Linked DNA regions of Oryzias latipes. The protein of the gene in region 1 purifies or fractionates together with the protein of each later gene. This does not show direct contact. Links are inferred from orthologs where the notes say so. Each region holds a gene or a part of one and is shown in the gene's direction. Other genes may lie near its edges.

The links.
Region 2: the proteins of suv39h1 (region 1) and chromobox protein homolog 3 purify together in Homo sapiens (affinity purification with mass spectrometry; 3 studies listed by BioGRID and IntAct, with this or other methods). This does not show direct contact. The link is inferred for Oryzias latipes from reciprocal best matches to the Homo sapiens genes SUV39H1 and CBX3.
Region 3: the proteins of suv39h1 (region 1) and mecom purify together in Homo sapiens (affinity purification with western blotting; 3 studies listed by BioGRID). This does not show direct contact. The link is inferred for Oryzias latipes from reciprocal best matches to the Homo sapiens genes SUV39H1 and MECOM.
Region 4: the proteins of suv39h1 (region 1) and histone-lysine N-methyltransferase EHMT1 purify together in Homo sapiens (co-immunoprecipitation; 3 studies listed by BioGRID and IntAct, with this or other methods). This does not show direct contact. The link is inferred for Oryzias latipes from reciprocal best matches to the Homo sapiens genes SUV39H1 and EHMT1.
Region 5: the proteins of suv39h1 (region 1) and setdb1 purify together in Homo sapiens (affinity purification with mass spectrometry; 3 studies listed by BioGRID and IntAct, counting the BioPlex papers as one, with this or other methods). This does not show direct contact. The link is inferred for Oryzias latipes from reciprocal best matches to the Homo sapiens genes SUV39H1 and SETDB1.

What each region holds. Positions count from the first base shown.
Region 1 is NC_019865.2:30,912,340-30,916,455, reverse strand, and holds part of suv39h1 (histone-lysine N-methyltransferase SUV39H1), read left to right. Parts: intron 1-944; coding exon 945-1,091; intron 1,092-1,326; coding exon 1,327-1,456; intron 1,457-3,706; coding exon 3,707-3,840; 3' UTR 3,841-4,116. UniProt on the Homo sapiens protein: Histone methyltransferase that specifically trimethylates 'Lys-9' of histone H3 using monomethylated H3 'Lys-9' as substrate. Also weakly methylates histone H1 (in vitro).
Region 2 is NC_019869.2:11,215,104-11,219,698, forward strand, and holds the start of chromobox protein homolog 3, read left to right. Parts: upstream 1-1,575; 5' UTR 1,576-1,707; intron 1,708-2,379; 5' UTR 2,380-2,387; coding exon 2,388-2,533; intron 2,534-3,197; coding exon 3,198-3,354; intron 3,355-3,453; coding exon 3,454-3,548; intron 3,549-4,206; coding exon 4,207-4,333; 3' UTR 4,334-4,595.
Region 3 is NC_019871.2:23,080,927-23,085,042, reverse strand, and holds part of mecom (MDS1 and EVI1 complex locus protein EVI1), read left to right. Parts: intron 1-745; coding exon 746-857; intron 858-956; coding exon 957-1,104; intron 1,105-1,200; coding exon 1,201-1,381; intron 1,382-4,116.
Region 4 is NC_019870.2:25,911,260-25,915,375, forward strand, and holds part of histone-lysine N-methyltransferase EHMT1, read left to right. Parts: intron 1-515; coding exon 516-638; intron 639-1,195; coding exon 1,196-1,464; intron 1,465-4,116. UniProt on the Homo sapiens protein: Histone methyltransferase that specifically mono- and dimethylates 'Lys-9' of histone H3 (H3K9me1 and H3K9me2, respectively) in euchromatin.
Region 5 is NC_019874.2:19,105,051-19,109,776, forward strand, and holds the start of setdb1 (histone-lysine N-methyltransferase SETDB1), read left to right. Parts: upstream 1-1,549; 5' UTR 1,550-1,642; coding exon 1,643-1,659; intron 1,660-2,489; coding exon 2,490-2,693; intron 2,694-2,776; coding exon 2,777-2,943; intron 2,944-3,042; coding exon 3,043-3,086; intron 3,087-3,355; coding exon 3,356-3,482; intron 3,483-3,567; coding exon 3,568-3,738; intron 3,739-3,855; coding exon 3,856-4,057; intron 4,058-4,132; coding exon 4,133-4,206; intron 4,207-4,299; coding exon 4,300-4,490; intron 4,491-4,726. UniProt on the Homo sapiens protein: Histone methyltransferase that specifically trimethylates 'Lys-9' of histone H3. H3 'Lys-9' trimethylation represents a specific tag for epigenetic transcriptional repression by recruiting HP1 (CBX1, CBX3 and/or CBX5) proteins to methylated histones.

The sequences.
Region 1 (4,116 bases):
GGTTAGCCGCATTTACCTGTGAATGAAAATACTTTGAATAAAAAAGGAAAGATACACTAGCACGACAGCTGTTTCACATTTCCTCTGTTGCTGTGAGCCTGTACAGAACTGAGAAGGAGCTTGGATGCAACAAATAGACTTTATTAATGACATTTTATTTACACTTTTGCAAAGACCCACTTCAATGAAAACCCTGTTGTTAGCATGTTCTTGTAGCATTTTTCTGATGAGGGAGGACATATAGAAAAAAAGTTCAGAACAAAACTGCATTTCTGATTATTTCTTTATTCAAATCGTGATGGATGAGGAGCAGAGGAAAAAACGCCGTTAGAAAAAGCTCTCAGTTCCAACCTAGAAGCTACAATGGATGAGCCAAAGTCTCCCAGCTCCAGTCCATTCTGATCATCCACTGTCAGACAAATAGATCCATGAACGTCTTTGTATTCCTCGTCTGAACTGGTAGCTTATGAAAACCGAACATTGGATAGAAACATTAAAAAATAATACCATAAATCCTTGAAAAACAAAGACGAGCAAACCGCTGCACAGTAAACTATCAATAGCAGAAAGTATCGTATACTGTGCAGTCAAGTCTGCGCAGTCGTCAAGTCTGCGCAGTCGTCAAGTCTGCGTCGTGAAGGGAGCAACTCCCTCTCAGGATGTAGAACATGACAGGGGGGCTGGAGGGTCCTGTGGGCTTCTTTTCTGCTGTTTGCTGTTAGCACAAAGTGACAACTGTTCTGATCAGCTGCGCAATGATTTGTGGGTAGATTTATGTATACAGTAATCTGAAAACATAGCTTCAGTTTTCGTTTTCCTAAAACCAAAATACTGGAAACAACTTTGCTCTGGAATGTTCATTATGGAGAAACTTCAACTGTGAGAGTCAGAATAAACGATTTGTGAATGGATTTGATTTCGAGTGTTCTATTTGCCCCCTACAGATAATTACAACAGATGAAGCAGAGAAGAGGGGCCATTTATACGACCGCCAGGGCTCCACCTACCTGTTTGACCTCGACTATGTAGAAGATGTGTACACAGTGGATGCTGCTCACCAAGGAAATATCTCCCACTTTGTCAACCACAGTGTGAGTGTCTGCAGTCACCTGATCCCCACAGGTTATCAAGACACAACCTTCAGAGTAGCTAAAGTAGTAATCGGTAGTAATCGATTGTGGGGCAGAAAATGAAGGTGGATCTAGAAGCAACTGAAAAGTTTTACCTAGTGTTTATCAAGTATATACATTCTTCTTTACTTGTTGGATGTTGGACTGTCAGTAGGAACAGCGATCAGCTCTGATTTGATAAATGTTGTCTTTTCAGTGTAACCCTAACCTGCAGGTCTTCAATGTGTTCATTGACAACATTGATGAGAGGCTCCCCAGAATCGCTCTGTTCTCAACGCGATCTATCCGGGCAGGGGAGGAGCTTACCTTCGACTACAAGATGCAAAGTGAGTTCATGATGACTGCTCTGCACTGTTAATGCTCCTTTATTATGCCTTATGCTATGTTCGAATTCCCTCCCTAACCCCTTTAAATATAGTGCACTATAAAGTGCGTTTGCCATTTTTTAGTGCTACATTAATCTATAATTCCCAGATCCAGTGCCCTAGAAATTTCCCAGAAGTCTCTGCAAAAAACCAGTGTGCATCAATGCTCACTAGATCGGCGAATATAGACCACAATGCATTGCGTTGGAAAGATTTTTGCCTCAAAAATGTATTTAAATGTATTTTTTTAACAAACCATCAAAGTTTTTATCTTCAGAAGACAGTGGATTCATAAATAATTGTCGATGACGTCATATATGCCGTTTAGAGAAAAAAAAAAGTAAAGTAGTTAGTTATAGGGGTTAGGGCGGGAATTCAGACACAAGCTTAGTCAGCCTCAAAACATCAATCTTTAAAGAGTGTAACCCACTTTACCCAGAGTTCACTGCAATGGGCTTCGGCAAAGCCTGCAAGCCTTATGGATGGATGGATGAACAGATGGATGGATGGATGGATGATGGAAGGATAGGTGGAGGACCAGATTGATGGATGGACGGATGGATGGATGAACAGATGGATGGATGGATGGAGGACCAGATTGATGGATGGACGGATGGACGGATGAACAGATGGATGGATGATGGAAGGATGGATGGATGAACAGATGGATGGACGGATGGATGGATGAACAGATTGATGGATGAACAGATGGACGGATGGATGAACAGATGGATGGACGGATGGATGGATGAACAGATGGATGGACGGATGAACAGATGGATGGACGGATGGACGGATGAACAGATGGATGGACGGATGGATGGATGGATGGAGGACCAGATTGATGGATGGACGGATGGATGGATGAACAGATGGACGGATGGATGAACAGATGGATGGACGGATGGACGGATGAACAGATGGATGGATGATGGATGGATGGAGGACCAGATTGATGGATGGATGATGGATGGTTGAACAGATGGATGGATGGATGGATGGATGGATGGATGAACAGATGGACGGATGGATGAACAGATGGATGGACGGATGGATGGATGAACAGATGGATGGATGATGGAAGGATGGATGGAGGACCAGATTGATGGATGGACGGATGGATGGATGAACAGATGGACGGATGGATGAACAGATGGATGGACGGATGAACAGATGGATGGATGATGGATGGATGGATGGAGGACCAGATGGATGGATGGATGGATGGATGGATGAACAGATGGATGGATGGATGAAAAGATGGATGGATGAACAGATTGATGAAGCTAACCTCGTCCAGACTAGGATTTTATCATGTCAAACTATACAAACCACATGAACTTGCCGAGAAGTATGTTTTCCTTTTTGCATTTATTGAGGATGGTCATCTGCAGTTTTTTAAATTGACCACGCTCCGCCTTTTATCCAAGAGACTTTCTTAACGAAACCTTTAAGAGAACTGGTATTCCTCCTGAGGGGGGGAGTTTTTCCCAAAAATATTTTCTGCTGTTTCCTTTTGGTCCAAAAACTACAGTTCTCTATCATTCAGTCCATGCAGCACACAGGGATATGATCAGCAGGGACTGACATGTCTAACACAACATGTGTTTCAGTGTTCTCTCACTCTACAGCAGGGGTGTCAAACTCCATCGCCCAGGGGGCCAAAATCTAAAACATGAACAAGATAAACCTTTGTAAAAAAGTGTGTAGTTTTTGTTTTGAAGTACATATCGATACTTTTTAATCATAAAAAACCTCGCTGTGCTCCATGCAGAGTTTAATAGAAGGCTGAGAGACTCCACGGGACAGCGGTAGGGCGGTCGACCCATGATCATAAGATTGCAGGTTCGATTCCCGCTTTGTACGCTCATGAGTCAAAGTGTCCATGGGCAAGACACTGAACCCCACCTTGCCTGTGGTGAAAGATTGGTGCCAGTGTTGGGCAGTGGAGCCCCCACCAGTGTGTGAATGTGTGTAAATGGGGGAATGGGACTGTGACTGTAAAGCACTTTGGGCCTTGAAGAAGGTAGAAAAGCGCTATATTAGTAGACGTCATTTACCATCCTTCTTCTGCACCTTTTAGTCATTTGTGTGTATGCACTTTTACAACAAAGCTCTCAAGTCCATCAAGAAATGACAGCCATTGGCTGTGAAACTAAAGAGATGCAGATGCTGTGTTTGACTGGGGCTGTCCTTTTCTGATACTTCCAGTTGATCCAGTGGACACAGAGAGCACCAAAATGGACTCCAGTTTCAGCCTGGCTGGGCTCCCCGGCTCGCCAAAGAAGAGGGTCCGGGTTGAGTGTCGGTGTGGCTCCGAACTCTGTCGGAAGTACCTCTTCTGACTGCAGGAATTCTGTGTTGATATGCTGGAAACTGTACAGATTCCTTTCATGAATTTTTATATGCGACCGTGAGAAAGTGTCAAGATTTTAAACATGTTTTTTTATAAGCAAGAAGAAAAAGAATCAGCATTTTCCATGACTCAGAGGTGCTGAGTCAGAGCCTCACTTCACTCATTCTGACATTTACACTGTGTGACGACACCCAGAGAACCTGCCAGATGGAACATTCGCCGGAATCAAACCTCAACTTCTCTATGAATTCTTGCTGTTGATCGA
Region 2 (4,595 bases), on another chromosome or scaffold:
ACATTGCTACATATCTGTTTACTTCAGGATAAAAAAAATACTCCCAAGTTTTCCACTTGATTTATTTAAACTTACATTTCAAAAACCTTTTCCATTTTTTTAAATGAAATTCTACCTCAGGTTTATTTTTTTTTCCTAATCCCTTTTTGACTAATTTGAAAGGTTTGGTGAACTTAAGTGTACTTGTATAATAAAATATTCATTATTACTGTGACCCCAAACAGATAAGCTGTCCAGTTACTTAAAAAATCTATCAGCAAGGCAAGATGTAACCCTTTAAATATTTGTCATTATGCAAAGGGATTGCTATGAAAACTATGGGTTCACAGCTTTACAAAGTCAGCCAAGTGTGTGAAATAATTGTGGAGTGCATGAAGTGACATTTTTCTTTTCCTGGTTTAGCTTAAAGTTTACTTTTCTGTCTCTAAGTTTCGCAAATGTGTGTCTTTCTTGTTTTTTGATTGTTTGCTTGTTGATTGCTGATAGTATGGTTTTTCTTGAAGAATTTAGGCGCTTTTGGGGGATTTGTTTACTCTGAATAAAAAAAGAAAGTGGCATTCTTGTTGTTTTTTCTGATAAATATAAGATTATTGTTCACATTTTATGTGTACCTTTAAGTCTAAGCATTTTTTAAAGTGGGGTGAATGTCTTTCTCCTAACTTAAGTACTTTGCTAGTGCTTTAAGTTTTTATTATTATTATTAATCCAAGTACAACTCAAATCACACCATTTGGCCAGTGCTGTAGTTATTTGGTATTGTCAAAAATGGTAAAGAAGACATTTTGACAAAATTACAATTTTTCTAGCAGAGAATTTTTTACTAACTCGGTTCACTTGGTGTAGAAGATATTGTTCACTATTGCAAATAAAAATAAAAAAATAGAAACATTTGGATTGCAAAAGTGTAGACTGAAGCACAGATCATTTTATTTCGCCTTCACACTTATAGCAAAGGTATTGCTTTAGTGTAACTAAATTTAACAGACAACCTTATATTTATCAAGTAAAGATTACTGAAAATGAATCACTTTACATTTGATAATCACATTGAGACAGTAAATAATTTTCACAGCTTTAAACACTGATACTTAATTTTTTTCACACTCAATCAATACAACTGCACTGACACAATATTGTTTTGTGTATTTGTTATTTTATTTAGGGCTTTATTATTAGGATTCTATGCACCCAAATTCTGTAGATCATTCTATAGCAGGTAAGTTGGTTTGCATAAAATAAACATTTTTTGTAGTATTCTTTAGTAACACGAGTTTATTTTAGCTCAGAAGTCATTTGTAAGCGTCAATATCAAAAAAACTCAAGACATACAGAATATTTAAAACACAAAAACAACTATAAGCTGTTCCTTTATTAGTGAAAACGATAGAAATGTGTCAATGTTTTAAACATGCTGCAAAGCTTTACTCGTGTATTCTCATTTTTCATTTAAAATGAAAAAACATATTTTAAAGATTGTGAGATAAACCGTTATATAAACTGAGAAAAAATAAATGACGTAAAAATAAACTAACAGGACACCGTAGAGTCACAAGTGCTCTAAAGCAAATTGTTTCCTTACGGGCTTCCGTAGCCTACTCGCCTTTTGCGTTTGGCGCGCACCCTCCTTTCTTCATCTGTACATAAAGACAGGCAGTGACCGCGTGGTTGAATAAGTCGTCACCGAGGTCATTTTCTAGGCTTTACAAGGTATGTAAGCTACGTTTACCGGTATTAAATGCTGCATCTCATCTCTTTGTTTTTGAACTTTTTTTCTTAAATAACTAAGACGTAAGGAGTAATTTAAGCTAACTTCTTCATCATAGAAATGAATGCAATGAACCGAACAGAATTTGTATTTGACTCTTCACAGCTCAAGCTTTTTAAGTTTATCAAGCCCGAGTGTTGTATGAATAGTATACTTTTAGTTTTAGACTGTTGATTGTCTCGTTTTGCTATTGCTATTAACTTAACACTAGCACGAACAATCTTTCGTTTTTTTGTTGGGTGTCGATATTGCTGTATTGTTGTAATTATTTGAGGCGTTAAGGTAAGATCTAAAGAAAACACGTTTTTGTAGCATGTTGATGTTCCTTTTTAGTAAAAAGATATAAACAATGGTACCATGGCCTCAAACTGTTTTGGCTACGTTAGCATGTTGGCTAACCCAAAGGACGCTAGTACCATTTACGGAAAACTTGCGGAGTGAACGTGGCCGAGTCGCGTCCGTCGTAAAAAGTTGGAAAAACTAAACACACACATGCTGTACACCTTTATATTTACGGTACAAGCCTTTCTGCTAAATGTGGGTCCTACAGGTGAAGTGGAAAAGGGCAGTTGCGTGATACATCGGCAATTGACTCTCCTTCCTCTTGGTTTTAGAGGCCAGAATGGGCAAGAAGCAGAATACAAAGAGTAAGAAGGACTCACAGGACACGCAGGAAGAGCCAGAAGAATTTGTTGTGGAAAAAGTACTCGACCAGCGTCTCGTCAATGGGAAAGTAGAGTTCTACTTGAAGTGGAAAGGATTTACAGAGTGAGTTAACTGGAGCCTCTCCAGCTAGTTCTTTAGAATGGGGAAGGGGGGTTGGCCTGTTTACTCTGTTACCACATTTTTATGTGGTTAAGGAATCAGACATTTACAATAGATTAGCATGAGCCTTAGATCCAATTTTAAAGTTTTTGTACATTTATACTATGATTCTTAATTTGACCCCTCCCCCTCCTTTAACTTGAGCTTTCATTTAGCTAAAATTAGCCAAATTTTTGGCCTCGATTTTCCTTCTGGCTTATGGGTATACAAAATGGGCTGAATACTTCAGGAAAAGAACAAGACAATTGGCTCGAATGTGGCAAGCATCTGCCCTTTTTCTTTGTTTTCCACTCACGCTGTAACTACCCATATAACGTAAACCAAAATTACAAATAGTTCATTTACATGCAAGAAGACACCAGATTATATGCTTTAGACAATTTTCTCATAACTTGACCAGTCTTGTTATTTTTTAAAGAACACCAGATTGCCCTGATCACTTGATAACCCAGATCATTTGGATCTGATTGGTTTCAGATTGTTCTGAACATGTAGTAAAGTCATTTTTGCATGAAGCTGCTAGTGTTCTCCGCATCCTGTTAGCTTTACATTTTTTTTAAAAGTCATGATTTATATGCAATTGATCACAGCCCTCTTAACTATTTAGTGCTGACAACACCTGGGAGCCGGAGGAGAACCTGGACTGTCCTGAGCTGATTTCTGCATTTTTGGAATCACAAAAGAATATTAAGGAGAAGCCTGCTGCTGTTAAAAGGAAAGCCTCCACAGATGAGCCAGAGACAGAGCCCAAGAAGAAAGACATGGTATGTCACAATGTCATTGCAGTACTTTGAGCTCAGTTCTAATTAGTCATTCTTCCATTTTAAAACTGTTTTCTGAATGTTCATGTGCTTCCACTTTAGGCTGAGAAACCACGTGGCTTTGCCAGAAACCTGGAGCCAGAGCGAATTATTGGAGCAACTGACAGTAGCGGGGAGTTAATGTTTCTGATGAAATGGTACATTTTTATAGAATGTCTCTGACTGTCTACTAGACAGAACCTTTAAAAGATGTTTATGAAATGAAAAAAATTATAAGATAAACATCCCACTTTAAAATCTGGTTCATAGGATTATCATTGTAAAACTCCTCACTACACACTTTATACACTTTTCTCAGACAAACAAACATTTTCACACTTTTCTCTCTTGTTTAAACTCTCAAATAAGACAATAAGTCCAATATTTTAGAAAGCAGACAAAAATCTGGTCACAATGGAAGATGTTTGTAATGGGCAAGCTAAACGCATTTGTACAGGAGACATGGGAGGGAGGAGATGGATGACATGGTCATCAACCAATCAGGATCCAGAGGGCAATCAAAATAAACATGCAAAGATATTTATAAAAATTTGAAGCAGCGATAGATAAACCACAGCATAGGGAGGGGTTAATGTAAAACTTGTTTTAGGTGAGCAGTACAATTTGGCCCAGAATGAAAACTTCTAGTTTGAACGTTGTTCACATTTTCTCTTAACTTCATTGGTTGGTTCACAAAAGAAACATTGTGGAAAGATGTTATTTATTGTGGAATATCATATGACTAATTTTTTTAAAGTAGTTTTATGTTGAATGTTTTTTTTTTCCATTTGTGTAACGCTGTTTAATTTTTTACAGGAAAGACTCCGACGAAGCGGATTTGGTCCCGGCCCGTGAAGCCAACACTCGCTGCCCTCAGGTAGTCATATCCTTCTATGAGGAGCGACTGACGTGGCATTCCTGTCCAGAAGATGAAGCTCAGTAACTGTTGTAGTTTGTGCTGTTCTTTGCATTACCTCTGCTCCTTTCTCAGGACGTTCTGTGCTCCTGTTTCCTGCCTTATCCTTCTAGTTACATGAATTACATAGATTTTTTTTTTTTTTACGCTTGTGTGGTTTTCAATGAGCTTTAAGGTTGTATATACTGGTTCAAAGCTTTTTGAGCTGTCAAAGGTTTTGCAATGTATGATCATTGAAGTCTTCCAAAGTATCTCATATTAAGGACCACTAAGTGTCATACATGTCATA
Region 3 (4,116 bases), on another chromosome or scaffold:
CTACACATTTTGGGGGAGAACCTCTTAAAAGGGTGCAGAAATATGATAACACATTGGGTTTTTCTTTTTTAGTTTAAGCTCCAGAATTCAAAAGTGAAAAAGCTTTACATTAAATATCTAGTGTGGCCACAGGTTTTTTGACTAATTGGAATGAATATGTTCATGCTCAAAGACACACTCTCATGAAAATCGAATTTTTGGTGTTTTTAACATGTTCTTGTGGCATTTTTCTTATGAGGAGGACATAAATTAAGAAGATTAAGCTCAAAATTGAATTTCTGACTATTCAAATCGTTGTGAATCAGGAGCAGAAAAACTGCTTGGCGGGCTCCTTGCTCCGGGCTCCATGCCCACAGCTCAGAGTCGAAGTTCTGATGAACTACTGCTGCTCTGCAGAAACTATGTCCCAGAAAACTACACGTTTTTTTTTTTTAAGCTAAACCAGCAAAACCATAATTAAAAGACAACTGGAAACACTATTAAAATAGTTCAAAAAACGGTTTTTAATTCAGTTTTAATTACATTCTGCCTTCAAATAATTTTATATATATATGCTGGACAAAACACTGACAGACATAATTACTTGAGAACAGAACTATGCACATAGAATATCCTACAGCAAAATCTTAGTCAGGTATGACAGGGATTTAAAAACGTGCTGTTGGTTAGATGTCCGGCTTCTTGAAGTTCAGAATAAGAGTTTTCTTGATGTATAGTCATCTTACATCCTGTCTTGTGAATCCAGGAGAGGATAGCGGGCTGAAGGACCATGAACCTGAAGACTTGCGGCCCTACAGTTCATCCCATGGTCTCCACGAGTGCAAAGAGTGTGATCAGGTCTTCCCTGATGTCCAGAGGTAGTGTCACAATTTGAGCATATGGTCTATCATGCAGTTTTTCCAGTGGTTTGGTTTTTCTCACAACCACACGCTGTTCTCCTTCTGTGTTCCTTTCAGCCTGGAGGCCCACATGCTCTCCCACTCTGAAGAGAGGGAATATAAGTGTGATCAGTGTCCCAAGGCCTTCAACTGGAAATCAAACTTGATCCGACATCAGATGTCACACGACAGCGGCAAACACTACGAATGTGAAAACTGCTCAAAGGTAAAGTGAAGGCACTCGCTTGAATTGTCCTGATTATTCCAACCGGGTTATTGTAATGGATAGTAACTCCTCTGTGTGTATGGTTCCTTCCCCCAGCAGGTGTTCACAGACCCCAGCAACCTTCAAAGGCACATTCGCTCGCAGCATGTGGGGGCGCGTGCCCACGCCTGCTCTGACTGTGGCAAGACGTTTGCAACGTCTTCAGGCCTCAAGCAGCATAAGCACATCCACAGCAGTGTCAAGCCCTTCATGTGTAAGTCACTAAGACCCTACCTATGTAAGTCTCCTCAGTACATTACAATAATAATGACAATATGCTTTGACTGGCATTGATTAGCAGGAACTAATAATTTTGCAGAAGTAATTTAGGTCTTCCACAGGCTCTCCAGCACATGTCTTTTTAAGCCAGGTGACATGCAGGTGACCTTTTGCATTAAGGTCCTCAGTCACTGCTGGTTTGGTAACACCAGCAAACCTCCTGTCAGTCACCATCAACACCACTACTTACACGTTTTTCATAGATTTCACACATTTTTGCTGCGTCTAACAGACAGATCAGGTCTCTTTCCGTGGAGGGCTTTTATTTCTTTTTAATTTTTGTGCTCCACTCGAAGCTTATAAAAACATATTTATGCTTAAAAACACAGTCGTTCCCCTTTCGCCAGCTAATATGTTGGAATTATCTTCATCAAAGACCTCTCATTCCTCAATCTGTCTTTTCTGGCTCTAGCACGTTCATCATTCCTCACAAATAGCAACCACATGTAGAGCCCTGCAAATAATCCATTTGCTGTAATCAGCAGAAAACATGCAGGTTTGAAAACAGCTAATGGTTGTGTTAAAAAAGATGAAGTAATCCCAAGCAGAAAGGCTCCCTGGGTAAGATACTGTGTGGAGTGTTTGATTGTTCTTGAATGACATCTTCTGGACAGTAGGGATGTACAAAACTGGCATTTTTGTTTTGTTTTTTTGTCAATATTATCAGTGCACACGAAGTATGTATACACAACGTATGAATCATCTATGAAATGAAAACACTCAGAAATGTGTTTATAAGATTCAGTTTCCTTTTAAGGAGCAAGAGAACACACATGTTCTAGATGACAGTTTACGCTAGCTGGAATGCGTGCCTAGTTATTCTATTAATGACACTATTACATCACTGATGGTGATGATAGGAGTTTCCTTGTGGTTTTTTCAGACCCTGTGGTTATACTAAAAACATCCAATAAGGATCAATAAAAGTTGTTATTTTGTTTAAAAAAAGTGCTGACTTCAATGTAAAATGCATGTTCAGACTTTAAGCCATCAAGACTTTATTTGTTGTATTCAAAATGTCTTTTTTTTTTTGTGTTTTGCCACCTACATTCCCTGCACCTAAATACTGGCCATCAGATTAAAAAAACAAATTCCATGCTCCTCCCACTTTTTCCAGATGTTTTCAACCTGATTTTAAAGACTGCTTTGACTTCCTCATTTACTCGTTAAAGTCGGCCTTTCTGTAAGGTTGCGTTCTCTTTTGGCTTAGCCTTACTCACTTAGAATTCCTCAGGGCTGTTTATTCAAATCTGCTTCCCGAATACGTTTTCCTGGTCTTCCTTTCAATCTCTTTGAATTGACTCTCATGCACCTTATGTCTGGAAAGCATCCAAAGTATGCATGAGCTTAATCACTGGGAGAATCTAACCATTTCCTGATACCAAACATCTAACAGCAATGTGAGCAAAATCTATCACTCAGAGGTGCCTCTGACTGATCTTTTAAATGGAAAAATCAAGGTTTTAAGGCGTAAACTGGAGTGAAACCAGTCCAGAGAATTAGGGAGTGTTTGAAAGCAAGCAAAGAGGGGGTTCTTGTCAAGATGAGTGTTTTTTTGTGGGGGAAGCTGAATTGCAAACTGACATGCAAGAGGCAAACTAGAGGCTATAAAGAAAATCTGAGAAGTTGGAGCAGAAAACCGGGGAGTAAATGTACCAATCAGCTGGTAAATATTGGAAATAAGGTGTGTAATATGAACAGAATGTACATGGAGCACATTAAACTTAAAAAAAAGAAGATAAGTCAATAAATAAAGATGGAGAAGATGTTAATTCGCTTATATCTTAATAGGACTTATCTACTTTCCAATAAAGGCCCAAAGTGCTTTACAGTCACATTCCCATTCACCCATGCACGCACATGTTCACACTCTCCGCTGCCAAACACTGGCACAAACTTAAACCACCCACAGCAATGTGGGGTTCAGTGTCTTGCCCACTAACACTTTGACCCCAAACCTTCTTATAGGATTTTAACTACATTACTTTTGCACCATGTCTGGAGAATAATGTGCAGTCACAGTTGAGACATTTTGTTCAAAGAACCCCTTTCTAAATCATCCACTAGTATTACATAAAGTTGACAGATTAATGACCACGATAGATAACATTGGATGCTGGGGTTTTGTTTTTGGATCGGGTGTTGTCAATGTACATCTTCCGGGGCTAGACAAAGTGACATGCAGCTACAGAACGGTTGGCTGTGGGAAGGTCACTTAGCACAGGACGACATGGCCTCAGCCCAGGGGGGGACAAGGTGAGGGGGTTGCGCAGGCCGGCTTGAGACTTTAGAGGCCTGGAGGGGGAAGAGGGAAGAGAGGCAGCAGAGGACGTGAGCCCTGTCCCTGGGAACCGGACTGCAGGATAGGATTCATTCAACTCCACTTCCTTCTCAAACCTAAAATAGAGCCATTGTGCTGTGTGCGGCTGAGAATGTGTATATGTGTGTAGCTTGAGTCTGCATTCCTGTTCACATCCCTGTGTGTCTGTGTGTGATCCAGCTGCTTTTTGTTGTGTGAATACTTTGCAAATGTGCCTGCATGTCCATGTCCTCGCCTGATTGTTTACGGACTCCTTGGGAGCGTTACTGAAAGGACAATGGGGATGGAGATGCCTGGGAATCTGGTTTGATGTGCAGGTGATGAGTGGCAGCAAAAGATTCACACAATCAAACAGACATACTCACTTACAATGC
Region 4 (4,116 bases), on another chromosome or scaffold:
AAAAAGGTTGAAAAAAACACTGAGTTAGATGACTCGATCTCTAAGGCTCCGCCTTTCGCTCCTTGTGGGTGCCGCCCATTTCATGACATCTACCTAGTCAGCCTCGGCAGCGTGTCTGCGTCTCGCCCCGGAAAACAAACAACATCCAAACGTTTGCAAAGATGCATGTGCATTGTGCATATAAAAGTGTTTTTCCCAAACATTGCTAGCTCCTCAGAGAAAGTGGGTGTGTGTGTTAGCTCGGGGGCGGAGCTGGCTGCGCAGAATCTTCCTGGAAGGGGCTGGAAAATACAAAAAAAACAATTAATAGCTCAAAAAGTTTATTTTGCATGATGTAGCCCCTTTAAAGAACAGCAGAAACGAGGATCTTGATCAAAATCATGCATTTTTCCATCTGTGTCGCATCTTTAAGTATAGGAAACTTGCTCCCACTCCAGGTCTGCTTGATTTTTGTTCCATATTTTTCTTTGGGTTGATTGTGTTTTCATTTTCTTCCTGTTTCCTGTTTGGCTTAGACGGCCCAGAGGCGGGGGGTCAGCCTCAAGTGTCTCACCCCTCTGGTCCACATGGTGACAAAGAGTACACACACATCGGGCCCCTGGAGCCCTTCAGCACAAACACAACGTCAGAAAGCAAAGGTGAGCCGTGGAAACATCAGGGCATTTGTCTGCAGCTGCTTCTATCTCTGAAGATGAACAAGTTTTAGATAATAATAAATATAATAATAATGGATTGGATTTATCCAGACGCTCAAAGCGCTTACAGTGTGTCCATTATTCATTCCTTCCTCATTCATACTGGGTGATGGTAAGTACTGCCCTGGGGCAGACAGACGGAGGCGTGGCTGCCAGTGTGCGCCTACGGCATCTCTCACCATCACCCGGGCATTCATACACATTCAGACACCAGTGAAGCCACACTGGAGGCAGGGAGGGTAAAGTGTCTTGCCCAAGGACACAACGACAGTAGACTGGGGGGAGCAGCGATTGAACCGCCGAGCCTTCGATTATTGGGCGACCTGCTCAACCGCCTGAGCCGCTGCCGCCCTTATTAGATCATAATTACTGATGCAAAAAGGGTTTTATCCGTTAGTTTGGATATTGAATTGTTTTTACATTTGACGATATTTAGACAGAATTCATCTTTAGAGTATTTTTAATTCCTTCCGTGTTTTTCTTTATTTCAAACACATCAGCTCCAGTGATGGAGGAGGCGCATGAGCTGCCGCTCTGCAGCTGTCGTATGGAGACCCCAAAGAGTCGAGAGATTCTCATCCTCGCTGACAGGAAGTGCATGGCCACAGAGAGCGTCGATGGCCAGCTAACCCGCTGTCAAAGCGCTGTGATGAAGCACGAAATGATGCGACCCTCCAACTCCGTTCAGCTGCTGGTTCTGTGTGAGGACCACCGCAACGGCATGGTGAAGCACCAGTGCTGTCCAGGCTGTGGCTTCTTCTGCAGAGCAGTGAGTATTCTGTTTAGGTCTCATATTTTCACGGTTTTTCATGTTGACAAAAACATTTTCTCATCTGTTCTTCATTCCCTTGAAAGCTATAAAATCCTGGTCAGTTTCATTCAGTCTCTGTTCACATCTGAACTACAGGAAAGGAAATAAGTACCGTAAATTCCGGACTACAAAGCGCACCCGATTACAAGCCGCACCCACCCATTTTCACGTGTTTGACTGCTTTTATACATACACAAGCTGCGTCAGAGTACAAGCCGCGCATGTGTTAGGCGATATTGTCGTCCTGACAGATCAAGGCCAGTATCCCAGAGTGAGTGCAATTTATTAGCACATTGTGGGTTGTGCCAGCTTTGCCTCTGGCTCACGTATTTGAGTGTATCGACATCTGTCAAACAGCATGGACCTATATTCTGTTCACAAGTTCCTCAGTTATGGTGTTTTTATTTCATTTTTTTTTTACTTATTGACAATCTAGGTATCATACATAAAATTACAAACAGTAACCATATAATCATTATAATTACGCGCTCCTTGTCTCCCCTTCCTATCTACTCCGACACCTCTGGCCAGGGCAGCTTCAAGGAGGAGCACTTCGTCCCCGTTGCACCGGTGTAAGGAGCAAATAGTTTCTGTGCAAAGCAATCGGACTTAAAACTGTACGTTTTGTGTATGAGGGGCGGGTGCGTTGTTACGTGTGGGAGCCATCAGACTGCCATCGGCCCCGCAGCTCAATCAGCAGGAGAAGATGTCTCCAGCTCACACGGAGGCTGTGAGTTTTTCAAAGCAAAATTTCGCTTTTACGGTTTCCTTAGAAACCGTAAATGGAGTGTAAATTCACTCCATGCGCTGTTCTCTCCGTCACGCAGCAAACCGACTTTTCCAAACCCGTTGGTGACGGTGGACTTTTTCACGCTGCTTTTAACGATTGCTTTTAACTTGAAAGCTTCATCATAATGTAGCGGCGATCACGTGCACGTTGGGTCTAATGGCCCCAAAGGATTCTGGGATGCGGCCGGGCATGCGTGTTTCATTTTGTTGAACCATGACTGAAGTGTCTAAGACCCGAAGTCAACTCCATGCTGTTTGGCTGCTTAGAGGTGTGTTGAATATAAATGCCTTGTGCTTGGTGTTAGATAGAGAATTCAAACTATTCACTGAGTTCGAAAGTACGTACATGGCTGCCGCCAATTAAATCCATAAATTAGCCGCGTCACTGAATAAGCCGCAAGGCTGTAAGCGCAGGAAAAAAGTAGCGGCTTGTAGTCCGGAAATTACGGTATTTCATCCCTTACTGATATTGTAGGTTTGCGTACTTAAAAAGAAACTGACAGACTTTCATCTTAATGGAAGGTTCATTTGAACAGTGAGAGAAAACAATAATGAAATCAACTTTAAAGAATCTACACCAATTTATTTGCATTTCATTGAGGAAAATACAGACATGATGAGTTCTGGTTCACAAAGAGCAGTTAGACTCTCCTGTTCAACTTGCCACTTGAATTGAAGAAACCTGTTTGAACTAATCACCTGTAGAAAAGACACCTGTCCACAGAATCAGTCCTACTGTCAGACTCCAAACTCTCAAACATGGAAAGACTAAAGAGCTTTCAGTGGATTTAAGGGAGAAGATTGTAGACCTGCACAAGACCGGAATGAACTCCAAAACCATCAGCAAGAACCTGGAGGTTAAAGGGACAACTGTTGGTGCAACATGACCATCAATCCACCTTTAGGTTTGGGGATCCAAACCAGATCTCACCTGGTGAGGTTTCCATGATCATGAGAACGGTGAGAAATCGGCCTAAAACAACACGGCAGGACTTACTTGATGATCTCAAAGCAGCTGGAACCACAGTTACCAAGAAAACCATTGGAAATACGTTACACCGCAACAGTTTAACATCGCGATGTCCGCCTGCTTAAGAAGACACGTGCAGTCCTGCCTGAAGTTTAGCAATGAACACCTTCATGATTACAGAGAGATTAGGAGAAGGTTCTGTGGTCAGATGAGACCAAACCGGAGGTCTTTGGCATCAACTCAACCCGTCGTGTTTGGAGGAAGAGAAATGCTGTCCATGACCTGATGACTGTTTATTACAACTGGGCTGAGTGACCCCTCCCCCCTGACATTCCAAGCAAGTAGTAACCATTGGCCCCAAAAAAGCAGGAATTCAATAGTCTTCTTTAGAAAAATAAACAGCTATTATTCAGCCATTCTCTTTGTCAGAGTAACCATTCTTGCTCTGATTCCTTTTTTTTTTAACTGTCAGGTTAACCCAAACCATGACATTAACATGTTTAACATGCGTTTGATTGACAGATTCTCCCAAGCCCACTTTCAGTAGAAGGGGTGTGGTCTTCTAACACTATTAATTGGAGAGAGTGGTTTCTAAAGAAATGTGGACTTAGACCAACTCGGACCAATTACTGCTTACTGACGATTTCTGGTGCCAACATGGCAACAACCGTATTGCAAAAAAATGGCAACTGAATTGACTTAGTTTGATTGGAACCAGAAGCAAGTCATTTTCTTATAGGTGATGTCACACTTACTCAGTCCATTTCTATTAAAAGTCAATGACCCCCAAGAACACCAACCCCACTGTCAAGCATGGAGGTGGAAGCATTATGCTTTGTGGGGGTTTTTCT
Region 5 (4,726 bases), on another chromosome or scaffold:
GGATTTGTCAGCATGGACCCTCCAGTTACTCCTGTGCCCTGGTCAGACGTGGATGTGGATCTGGGTTTTGCCCTCTTCTTCTTCTTTCTTCTCTGCTTCTTTTTGCTGGTGACGATTGTCCGCTGCGCTCAGCTGGTACTGGACCCTTACGGCGAAGTTTCTCCTTCAACATTCCTAGAAGAGGAAACTGAGGAATCATGACATGGATCCCCTGTGTATGACGGATGATCAGAAAATAAAATTGGAAACGCAAATTCTTTGGACAATTTCTACATTTTTGAATTTTGGTGGAATAGTTGTTGATCACTATCATGCAAGTATATGCGGTGGGGTTTCACGTGTGCTTAAGTGATGTGGTTTTACATTTTCTTAGGATTGTTTATGTTATAAAGTTAATCAATATTGACCTATGGGTTTCTCTTCCTTTGACCTAAAAGCTAGCTGGATAGGCTTCAGCAATCCCTATGACCCACAACACATTTATGCTACATTTTCTTGTTCTTGCTTTTTTTTTTTTACTTAATTCTAAGTCTTTTTTCCCTCTGCTGTCAGTTGCTATGGTGACAAACAAATTTCCCACGTGTGGGATCAATAAAGTATCTCTGATTCTGAAATAGCAGGTAATAGACGGATAGATGGATTTGTGAAAAATTATTTTAACAAAACAATTTTTTCTACAAATAAAGTGTTTTTATATCTATGTATGTATAGATAAATTTGCATAAATACTGGCTGATACAAACATTATTATTATTATTCATCAAGATCTGTATTTAACATTTTGATAGCCCTGAGTAAAAGCAACTGAACTTTTATTTCAGATGCTTTGTATTGTTTTTTTCCTTTTGTTCCAAGAATTTAGCACAAAAGTGACATTTTTTTGGGAAATTTTAAATAAATAATTTATTTCATTGCCAAAGTTGGTGAGTGTGACCTTCACCAACTAGGGGCTTTGGTACCTGTACAGAAATACATTTGAAATAGCACAAAACAACGTTCAATATTTATCATTGTCTGGTTAAAAAAAAAGTTGCTTTTGTTAACAGAAATAATTTAGGATAAATAAATGACTGCAATGTTTTTAAGCACTTTAACCAATACTAACTTTCTGATGCTCCTTAAGTTGAGAGTCCTTAAACGTCTACGGACATTTTTTAAGCAACGTAGAAATTACACCATGGAATTATTTTTAATACATCAAAACACTACTTGTTTAAATTAAGTAGATTAATCTGATAATGTTGTTTGTTCACAATAAAGTCTTTAAAAATGATGGTTAATGAGAGATTTAAAATTTACCAAACAAAATTAATCGAGTGTTCGCTTGTTTTGACCATTTTGAGCGAGGAGAACCAGGGCAATTGCGAATTGACGTTGATTTTTCCTTCCTATCTAACATTTGCTTAAAATCTTTACAGACCCCTGCAAATTTCTGAATATAAAAATATAATAACAAGAATCATATTTTTTGGTAGAACTTTTTGGACGCTGTTAAACGAATGAGTCGGATGTTTTGCTTCTACTTCACTAAGCCCACCTAACACCGCCCAGTCGGGATACCCTGGGAGCCACGTCAAGCGCTCCCTATTGTAGCTAGCTCGTAGCTTTAACGTAAGCTAGTTTTAAAGCATCGTCCCATAGAATGGAAAACGTTGAAGGGTATGTACTTTTTCCAGATGTTTTTTTTTTAATATAAAATACATAAGCCGCATCCTTAAGAACACCCCCCAGACGAAATAAATATGCACGTTCTACAGCCACCTACTTATGCACTCTTGGGTGTTTACGTTCATATGAAGCGTTTATGCTAAGCTAACCAGCTAGCATGCATCCAGTATCGAGCTCCAGCAGCATCTTGTCTCCACCATGCTGCTCTTTTAGCACCGTTTACTGAATCTGTGGAGATTTTAATTTGCAGCCCTTTCTTAAAAGAAAACTTGCTCTGTTTCTCCTTTTTCTGATTTTAAGTTATACTGTTTGTGCTAAAAAGGTAAAGCTAAACAAAAGAATTCATCCTAATTTGTAGACATTATTTTTCTGTAATGCTTTTAATATTTATTTAATGTGACGTAGTTGGTCCAAATTATTTAGTTCCACGATTTTCTTTCAAATTATTGACTAAGATCATTTGAGACCTTACTATCAGCTATTGATGGAAAGCCTGTTGTGTTTGTTGATGTGTTATCCCCAATATTTTGTTTTCTTTCCCTGCTTTACAGACTGTTTTTTTTAAATAAATCTCACAGTCTTTGTTTTTAATTGCTCTTTTATTGATTTAGTCACAGCATCTCTTTTGGTCTCCACATTTGTCATAGTAATTAATCATTTTAATATTTTAAAGCATTTCCAATTAATCTTCGCACAGTTTTTTGTATAGATCAAGAAAGTTTTATTTGATCATGGACACATTTTAGTTTTCATTTAAATGTTTTATTTTTAAATCTTTTTTTAATTATTCAACTTCTTTCTTACCGACTGTTCTTCTTCAGAATGGAGGTGGATGGCTGGGACTCCAGTCTGGAGGAAGAGTTTGGCATATCCCTGGATGAGCTGAAGAAATGGATTGATGAAGCTGTGGAAAAGAGCGACATTGTCCAGAAGAAGAAAGCTCAGCTGACGGAGCTTAAGGAATGGGTGGAGCAGAAAGAGGAAGAGGAGGCAAAGACGGAGATGCTGCTTACTGATGCCAACCAGTAAGAATGTGCTTCTGCCTTTGATTTATTTGTTGTGTCACCGTGTCTAGATGGTTGACGCCATGCTCCTCATTTCATTGCAGGTCTGTAATAGAGTGTGAGAAGCTGGTGAAGGAAGCTTGTAAGAAGAATGGTCTTGTTTATCGTGAGAGCGGCTCCGAGGATGAGGGAGGCGGAGGAGGTTCCCTGCCCTCTGAAGTTATAGAGATAGACGACGATGATGACGACGACGTTATTGCTGTTGGTTGTTGTAAGTTATATTAATTTGTCATGGAGAAAGTATGACTATACATTGATAAAAGATGTTTCCTCATTATTATCTTTTCCTGTTTTTAATTTACTCAATCAGTGGTTCCCCCAAACAAGACATTAACCCCCTCTAAAGACCCTGCGGTAAGAGATCAATTAAATGTTCGCAATAAACAAGTTGTTCTATCTTTAAATAAACATTTTTTATTTTATGTATGGAATGTTTCACAGAAGAAGGAAAAGTAATATGTATCTTTATTTTGACCAGATTTTGAAAAGATTTTATGCAGTTTAGGATAAAAAACATTAAGAAGACATTGGAAACGCTGAATGTTCTGCCTTTTCTTTGCCCTATCCATATGAAGTGAAGCAATAAAAAAACACAGTTACTTGATTTTTTGTTGTTAAAACAGTTAAAGGAAGCCTCTGCAGTTCTGCAGAAAACCTCCCACCAAGTTCAGAAGTTGGTCCAAATAGTCGCCAAGTCTCCAGCATCTGCTGCGTTGCTTCGATCTCCAACACAGCTCTCTGCTCCTTCAGGTGAGCAAATACTGATGCTCCTGCATCACAATTCTTCTTGATATCTTCCTCGACTTGCTCTCATTTGTGGCTCTTCTTCCTGCAGGTATTCAAAGCTCGGCACCAGCAGTGTTTGTGTCTCAGGCCCCATCCCAAGGAATGACTCAGCCGAGCCCAAACATAAAAGAAGATGAGCTCAAAATTGGGATGAACATTCTGGGAAAGAAACGCACGAAGACCTGGCACAGAGGCACTCTTGTTGCCATCAACCCTATTGGTGTGTTCTTTTCTCCAAGTTTCTTTAAATTAGTGCGTAAACACTTGTTGGGTTTTCCGGTATTTTTTACCTTTTTTAATTATTTCTTTTGTCTCTGGTGCTTCTGTCTAAAATCAGGAGGTGGGGTTTACAAATACAAAGTAAAGTTTGATAAAGGCAAGAGTCTGCTGTCGGGAAACCATGTGGCTTTCGACTACAACCCCACTCTGGAGAGTCTGTTTGTTGGGGCTCGAGTAGTTGCCAAGTACAAAGATGGCAACCTGGTGTGGCTGTATGCAGGAATCGTAGCAGAAATGCCCAACAACAAGAACCGCATGAGGTGGGTGCTCCCAAATCTAAAGAGGCCCTGTGCTGGTCATTATTTAAACAATTGCTGTCCCTGTATGTTTTGCAGGTTCTTGATCTTCTTCGATGATGGCTATGCTTCCTATGTGATACTTCCTGAACTTTACCCTGTTTGCAGACCTTGTAAGGGACTCTTTCCCAGATTTTAGTGATTTAAATGCACATTTTTTAATGAAGTTTTTAACAAAGAAGATCTTTCTTGTTTTTTGTTTACAGTAAAACACACTTGGGAGGACATAGAAGATGCTTCTTGTCGAGACTTTATCGAGGAGTATATCTCTGCCTATCCCAGCAGGCCGATGGTGCTCCTCAAGGCCGGCCAAATAATCAAGACGGAGTGGGAAGGAACTTGGTGGAAGAGCAGGGTGGAGGAAGTGGATGGCAGCTTGGTCAAGATTCTCTTTTTAGTACGTCTGTTTCTGATTTTTCCCCATAACTCTTTTGTTTTGTTGGTAAAAACACTAAAGATCCTTAAAGACTCAGTTGGTCTAGAAATTCCCTAAATCTTAATTTAATTGACTTTAAACAAACCTACCTAATATCAAATTAACAATCTGAACTAATAGAATAAAATATACAAATTTGAACAGATAGTGGAGCAAACCAAAAAGAAGAATAAAAATGTAAAACTGCTGTTAAATAC